Regions from separate parts of the Mus musculus genome. Here region 1 is reported to be linked to region 2. Evidence: microRNA targets listed by miRTarBase, many of them from high-throughput screens and not tested one by one. Region 2 holds a microRNA gene; the other region holds the end of a gene's coding sequence.

Region 1 (4,068 bases), not on the chromosome of region 2:
CAGACTCTAAAACCCTTAGCATGACTTGCTGTGAAGTGTTTCATCTGTCTTTGTGTTTGATTATACAGATATTTGTTTGTGAGAATATCTCCTCTGCAACATAATCTCTATGAGGACAGGGGCTGCTTTGCCTTCCAACATAGCCCCTGCCCTTAGCACGGCTACTGTTCTGTTCATGGGTATAAACAGACCGAATGGTGCATAGATTCACCAGACAACTCTCCTGGTTTTGAACCTTAGCAAATTATGTCTGTAATGCTTTATAACTACCACAGGGATTGGCAAGGTTGGAATTATCATCTCCATTTTGTAGTCAGAGAAACTGAGGCTCTGTGTGTTAAGTCACTCACCTGGTATATCCAAGCGGAGCACTGGGAACTCCCAGAGAGTCATGCATTCCTGGGAAGGCCAGGTTCCAGCTGTCTCTCAGGAATCTCTCACCATCATGTAGCTGCATCCAGCCCACCACCACTAACTAAGTCTATGTTGTGTTTGTTGCAGACTCAGGAGGCAGCAGGGACATAATGGCCAACTCTCAGACCTGGATGGCCGAATAGGAAGCCAGACCTCAAGCAAGCTGCAGGATGGTCGAAACAATAACATCCTGACCCATACATGCCCCCGAGGCTGCAGCAGCTAAACTCGACTGCCCAGATGACACTGTCTGCCCTGACACCCAGAACCCCCCTGTCCCCTGATGGACCCCATCTCACCCCTAAAACATCAGATGCAGGAAGAGCTCTGTATTCAGGGTTCTGGTCCTTGTTTCCAGCTGATTCGCTGTGTGACCTTGAGCAAATCACACATTCTCTGTGCCTCAGTTTTCTGCATCTGTGGAAGGGGTTAAACAGCTCTTTGCCCCATCTCCAGTCATAAAATTGTGAGAATCTGGTTGGACTGCAGATATGTAAACTCCTGGGCATTGATCAAGTGTTTATACATGTAAATTATCTCAATATCTAAAGTGTCCTCCCTAGCCCCCACACAATTTTAACCATGAGAACTTTGCAATTTGGCCCATCCTAGTTTGCTTGATGGAACTTTCAACAACATAAATAGCTGATATGTTTGTCCCTCTTATGGGACTTCCAGGTTCCAAAGCAACCAGGAAGAGTCACACACAGACTTCCTGGCCTTCTGGAATGGTGCAGCATAAAGACCAAGCCCAGGAGTTTCTGCTGCAAACAGGTTTTTCCCTGACTCGTGGAAGGCTGCCCCCACATTTGGATTCCAGCAATCACCAGCTATCACCATATCCCCACATCCCCGTGTTAGATGGCACTGTGTCTCTGGCCACTCCTCCCCACCACAGAGTGTCCTGGGATCCCAGAGGAGACTCATCCTGCAGCGTGACCTCAGTCCCCACCAGGAAGAATATAAGAGTCCAGTCAGCCTGTCATGCAAAGGCTCCCTGGCTGGGTAGTCAGAGCTTCCTGTTGATACCTTAGGAAGCCTCGGTGCTTAGAGTCTTCTGTAGACACAAGCAGAATCACTCAAGAAGCCAAGTATCTTATACCCTGGCCAGGAACCAGCTGACCCTTGAGCTGAGGATGCTGAGATTAGCAAAGAAAGCCAGTTGGCAGCTGCAGCCAAGACTGGAAGACCTCTGCAAATCATGTGCTTGCTCAAAGGTCAATTTTCTCATTCTCAAAAAAGGAAGGAGAAGGATGGCCTTGTTATGGGACTTGATAAGATCCCATGTGTCACACAGTGATGACTGACGTTGGCCATCACCCTCCTCATCATCATCTCCCTCCTCTTCCTCCTCCTCCTCCTCATCTCCCTCCTCTTCTTCTTCCTCCTCCTCCTCCTCATCTCCCTCCTCTTCTTCTTCCTCCTCTTCCTCCTCCCTCTTCTCTACCCTCCCCCTACTCTTCCTCCTCCTCATATTTATCATCATCACCACCATCATGACTGCAATCCTCCTCTGTTGGAGGTACTTTCCTGTTTTGGTGACATAGCAGGTCTGATTTCTGTGGACCAAGGATCCTCCAAGTTTACAGTTTGTTTTCTTTTCTTACCTGGAGCCTCTGAGGTCTGGACATCCCCGCTAAGAACATCCCTACTGAGATCAAGTGTTTTCACGTCAGCCTCTGTTTCCATTTTCCACTTTCTCACTATGATTCACGTCTATCAGTGTCATCTCTTAGATCTCTTGAGAGACATTTTAATGTATGGTAAGGTTTTACACTTTTCAAATAACTGCATTGTACCACCCCCTTAACTGAGTCCCCCCACCATGTCTATCTCCTGCCCACTGTACTGTCTCCAGCCCCTGTCTGCCCTTCCTGCCCTGCAGAACATCCAGCCGATCTTCTCTACACTGTGACCTAGAAGTATCATAATGTCTTCTTGGCATGAGCTTGTGAATGAGAGGAGGTGGTGAAGGGGAGGTGCACGGTGGGGACCCTGATTATTTGGCTCTGTTTAAGTCCATGTTCCTTGTTCAGAATAAATAAGCACTCAGATGTTCCTTGTAAATGGCTCTTAATTCAGGGATGGGTGGGACAAACCTTCTTATCCATAGGGGGCTCCACATTAATCAGAAGCAGAGACAAAGTGAAAAGATGAGTTTATCAGCTCTCTGTCACTGCAGCAAAACACCTGAGATAACTAACTTAGAAAGAGAAAAATATTTCTTTTGGCTTCTTTCTTTAAGGCCCCATGAGGAGGCAGCTTGTGGCAGGAGTGTGTGGTGGACTGACTTTCATGGGAGCCAGGGATCAAAAGAGTAAAGAGCAGTCAGAGTCCTACTGTGTCCCACAAGAGCATGCCCCCAGTGAACTAGAGTCCTCCATCAAGACTCACCTCTCAAATGTCTCACTCCCTCTAAATATCACCATTCTAGGACCAAGCTTTTAGAACACAAACTGTTGGGAGACACAAGATTCAAGCTATGGGTTGCTGTTCGAAGGACACATTGACTTTTCCCCCCAGATCAAATTGAGCTTGCTTATTGGAAGGTCTCCCCACGTGACTATAATTTATATTACAGCTATGTGTTTGTAAAGAGAGAATCTATCCTCCATGGTAGAAAGCCAGAGAATAGTGCACATAGGCAAAACATGCTTTCTGATGTTCTCAAGTTGCTACCTGGACCTCTCACACTCAGCACCACAGGAACCAATGCCTTCATTGCCTGTGGACGTCTCGGTTTTCCTCACCACCTTCCAGTCTTCCTCTCCACTGGGATGAATCTCAGCTTCCAACCGTGTAGGTTATCACATCAGTGTTAAAGGTTAATACCACTTCTTCCAAGGCCCCTGGGACTCGTGGCAACACTAATTCATGCCAGGTATAGCTACTCCGTGTGGGCTTCCATGAACATTTTCTGTAGCTTTCACAGAACTTGCTTGGTAAGGGGCAAGCAGCAGGCTTTTAATGAAGGAGATAGAGGAACACAACACAAACTGGCTGTGTGTATTTGCTTTGGGCACCGCCTAACCAACTCACTCCCCACTTCCCCTGCGTTTCTCAGGACTTTTTCTCTTCAATGTTATTGGGGACTGACCCTCTTCAGAGCCACTTTTCCATGAGGCCCAAGTTACAAATGTGTTTTTCATTCTTTCTCATACAACCTCCGTTCCCAGAGTGAATGACTTCAACCCAGCTGTGGCAGAAGAGCAATCAGATTAAATACATTATCCCTTTTTCTGTGTGAGATCTGCCTGAGGAGACACAGAAACACCATTTACCCCAAACAGGACACTGACAACACACTGAAAGAATTCTACCAAAGTCCAATTTGGTGAACCAATGAGGGCACTGGAGTTTCTTACAGGAGTATGGGACACAAAGGTAGCTAGCTATACCATGCAAAAACCCAACACAGTAGGAGCGATGACTCATGGATTCTGTAGTCTTGGAGTACTCTGAACAATTGGAAGCTGCTCAACAGATGGGAGAATCTCTTCTCTTTAGCAGGTTTTACTGTTTAACCCCAGGAAAGAAAGGGGCTTTTGAACCTCATAAGTTTCAGGGACTTTCTAAGACTTGTATGTTGTTCACTTCCTGGGACTCAAGGAGCCTCCCTTAGAAATACAATGTTTCAGTTCTGAAGGAACTACT
Region 2 (4,068 bases):
GTTGGGCTGGCATCTGTGGTCTCTTAGAAGCTGTAAGACATCTTCTCAGGCCCTGTGGCTGTTATTGTTTCTGTTGAAAAGGCAGGTATAATATTGATAAATTATTCTTCAGATTATACCTGGCCTTTTTGTGGTTGCAGTTTTTTCTTTATTTTGTACATTTAGTGTATTATCTGTTCTAACCTATTTTGTGGGATGAACCAGAATTCAGGAGCAGTTTTGGCAAGTGGAGTTGGGGAAATCAACTCTAGAGATCATCACTGAGTACAGATCTAATGTATTGTGCATTTGCAAGTGTTTTTATACAGCTTTTGGACCAATGGGGTATTGATACAAGCTCTGGAGTAGCCAACTATCCCACTGTTGGGAGGTGCCAGGCTATTAGCATATGAAGGGACCTCCATAAAAAATGGAAAGTAGCTATGGCCCTGTTCGGCCCATTGTGAGGTTTCCCTACTTTCAGTATCCAAATAAACAAAATCAGAATTAAAAAGGGAGACATTAACAAATAAAATTGAATAAATTCAAAGAATCATTAGCTCTTACTTTAAAAGCCTGTTCTACATAAATTTGGAAAATCTTTAACAGATTGTAAGACATTTTAGAAAGATACCTATTTCCAAAGTTCAATCAAGATCAAGTAAACTATTGAAACATCCCTATAACACTTAAGGAAAGGGAAACAGTTATCAAAAGAAAAAAGCCCAGGTGGTTTTAGTGCAGAATTCTACCAGGCTTTTAAAGAAAGAGCTAATGCCAGTACTGCTCAGACTATTGCACAAAATAGAAGCAGAAGGAATACTGCTAACTAAGAAAAAGAATTTCAGGCCGATTTATCTTGTCATATTAATGCAAATATATTCAATAAAATACTAAAAAAAATGCACCAGAGAACTAGGATAGGGCAGGTTCCTAAGAGTCAGTGGGGGTGATCTTAGCTGTGACTCACAGCATTGGGAATATGGAACCTGAAGATGGAACCTGAAGAGGCCATCTGCTGTAGCCAGGCAGGGACACCAATCTACACACAAAACTTTCATTTCAAATGTTATCCTGTCTGCAAGAAATGCAGGGACAGGGATGGAGCAGAGCCTAAGGAAATGGCCAACCAATAACTGGCCAACTAGAGACCTATCCCATGGTTAAGTACCAATCCCTGACACTCTTCATGATACTCTGTTATCTTGCAGACAGAAGTCTAGCATGGCTGTCTTCTGAGAGGCTCTACCCAGCAGTTGACTCAGACAGTCACAGCCAAACAGTAGATGGAACTTGTGGGCTCTTAATGGAAGAACAGAAGTAAAGATCTTGGGACCTGAAGGAGGATAGGAACTCCACAGGAAGACCAAGAGAATTCACTAACCTGGACCCTTGGGGCACTTAGAGACTGAGCTACCAACCAAGGAGCATACACAGGCTGAACCTAGGCCTCTCCGTACATATGAAGCAGATGGGCAGCTTGATCTTCATGTGGGTCCTAACAGCTGGAACTATTGCTAATGCTGTTGCCTGTCTACGAAATCCATTCCCCTAATCGGTTGCCTTCTGTCCTTCATCAAAGAGAGTGTGTCTAGCCTGGCAGAAACTTGGTATACTAGGGTGGGATTTTACCCAACCACCTACCCCCCCCCCCCGCCATCAGGGAAGAAAGGGAGGAAGGATTGGGGTGGCAGTGTTAGGAATGGAAAGTGAATAAATAAAAATAGACATTTGGGGTTTTTTTTTGTTTTTTGTTTGTTTGTTTTATTTTTTATTAGATATTTTCTTTATATACATTTCAAATGCTATCCCGAAAGTTCCCTATACCCTCCCTCCTCCCTGCTCCCCTACCCATCCACTCCTGGTTCTTGGCCCTGGCATTCCCCTGTATTGGGGCATATAAAGTACTACAATGAGATAATACTGTCCTAAAATAATGTGCTATATTAAATCAATAGAAAAAGGAAAAAATAGGCAGACAGAGAGATAAAATATACTTATGATGGCTTTTCTGCTCACAGGAAATATCACAAATCACCTCATTTACTTATTTGGACTATTGAGTATTATATTTAAAGTTTTTTTCAGAGGAAGTAATTTGGTTAAAAGTTCTGATAATTTGTTAAAGACATTCTAATACAATTAGTGGAAAACTAAAAAAGGCTTATTTTCATGACTCAACTCTTGACAGGAAGATAGGATCCATGAGAATCTTTTTTTCTGAAAATTCCAGGTGAAACTGGGTTTGTTGTCTGTGGCTCATAAATAGCTCTAGTAAGATTAAGGCTGGGGCATTGACAAATCTATGTTGTGTGAGTTGTGTGCAGTGCTCTATTCAGATTAGTGCCAGTCATGTGAAATACATATGACTGGCACCATTCTGGATAATGTAATGCTCACTATATTCTTCAAGTGATTTGACCCTGGATGTTCATGGTAGTATATACTTCGAAGAATGTTACATGCCTTCCATAATTTCAGCTTGTCATTTGATTCCTGTAGCATCTATAATTATAGAAAATATTTTCTTTTCTAGAAATCACAACTCAGGAGCACTTACAGTTCATAGAAGATAAAATTGGAGGATACTAAGTACCTTTATACTACAGGTAAAAACATGAAATGAATACAATTTTATATACTTAATTTTGACAATTAGACAAACAAACAAGAGTCCAGAGCATCCAGAGAGAAAAATATAATGTAAAGGAATATATATTTGTTTCCTTGAATGAAGTGTGGTGGTGGAGGTGTGTGATTCTTCTCTAAACACAGTAAGTATGAGGAAGTCTAATTTTTATCACAGCAGATCAGTCATGATTGTGATACATGTTTTGGTCCATTAGAAAATATGTTGATACAAGTTTTTCTTGTTCACTACCTGCCTATTAGGAATTTTCAGAGTGAATTTGGTACATCAATGAATAATTTTTAATGTTATTACCAGTAAGTTAGATTAAAAAATTAAAAAGAGTAGATTCGAAAATGAGGAAGTATAATTAAAATGGTAATAAAGAAAACCGCACATCTTCATTCCAAGTTGACACAGTCATTCACATAGAATGGAACTTAAGGGATCCGTTAAATAGAAGTCAATGGTGAGAGAGAATATCTTGTTATCTCTGAAATTATGAATAAGTCATAAGTTGGTATAGGTTTATGTTTTTTTAGTGCTGTGATGAAAGATGAACAGAAAGGTAGAAATTCCTGGTGTACCAGATCCACATTGTCTTTTGTGTATTTCTTTTCCCACAGTGGGGCTATTCAAATGAACTGCAAGTATACAGTAGCTCTCTGGGTAGAGGAAGGCTTATCTTTACCTCTTTTTAATGGCTTTTGGATGATAATGTAGGTGTAGATGAAATCACCCATGTTGTGTCTTCCTGGATATTTATAATTAGCTTTAGACCCTGTAGATCATTTGCTTATTTTCAAAATGTTTTAATTATCCATTCTTAGCCTCATAATAGTAATTCATAGGCTATATAAAATGAGTTAGTCAGGCCCGACTAAATTATTCATCCTCAGTATATTTTCAATTATATGCCTATAATAATGTTTGTACATTTTCAAGCAAAATGATAAAGAATATTAAAATAGTTTGTATATAAAGAAGAAATAGCAAATAAAAGTTCATATCTTTTTACTGTCATTCATCTAAGGAAATGGCAATTGATATAATCTAATATAATTTAAAGATAAGGTAACTAATAAGTGGGCAATTCTCCTGATGCTTTCAATAGATTACAAGAAGAATCCAATGTGCATTATTACTGGGTGTCATGGAGAAGTCTAGGAAATGACCTACTCATTAAATATGCCCTGGACAGTCGCAAATTGGTGCTGGTAGGATTAAATGAATGTAGCCAGGTACTCTCTGGGTAGAGTCAAGCTTGTATGATTCTCATAAGATCAGGGTTCTGGAAGGGATAGTGTAAGTGGTCTTGAAGCATTTTCCTTAACCTTAGGTTTTCTGATGATACTTGCAAAACCCAGACTTTTTAAATAGGATTTATTTCCTCATGAGCCTTTACAGATCGACATAAAGGAGATTATATTTTTCCTTGTAGTGAAAACAATATCAGGTAA

The links. Region 2 holds the annotated microRNA mmu-miR-871-3p (UGACUGGCACCAUUCUGGAUAAU, at 2,346-2,368, shown strand). A microRNA usually pairs through its seed, bases 2 to 8, with sites in the 3' UTR of a target mRNA and lowers its output. Matches are read on the target gene's strand: a 7mer-m8 pairs with bases 2 to 8, a 7mer-A1 pairs with bases 2 to 7 and ends in A, and an 8mer does both.
Region 1: the mRNA of Stk32b is a reported target of mmu-miR-871-3p. Seed matches in the 3' UTR shown: 7mer-A1 at 867-873 and 7mer-A1 at 1,385-1,391.

Annotation. Positions count from the first base shown.
Region 1 is chr5:37,445,225-37,449,292 of GRCm38, reverse strand. It overlaps Stk32b (serine/threonine kinase 32B), which reads left to right. Exons shown (of 12, transcript NM_022416.2): 12 at 502-2,468. The coding sequence ends at 640. Among named protein-coding and RNA genes, the nearest start is that of Evc2, 110 kb to the right of the region's middle.
Region 2 is chrX:66,808,738-66,812,805 of GRCm38, reverse strand. Mir871 (microRNA 871) reads left to right here and starts at 2,302; the gene lies at 2,302-2,378.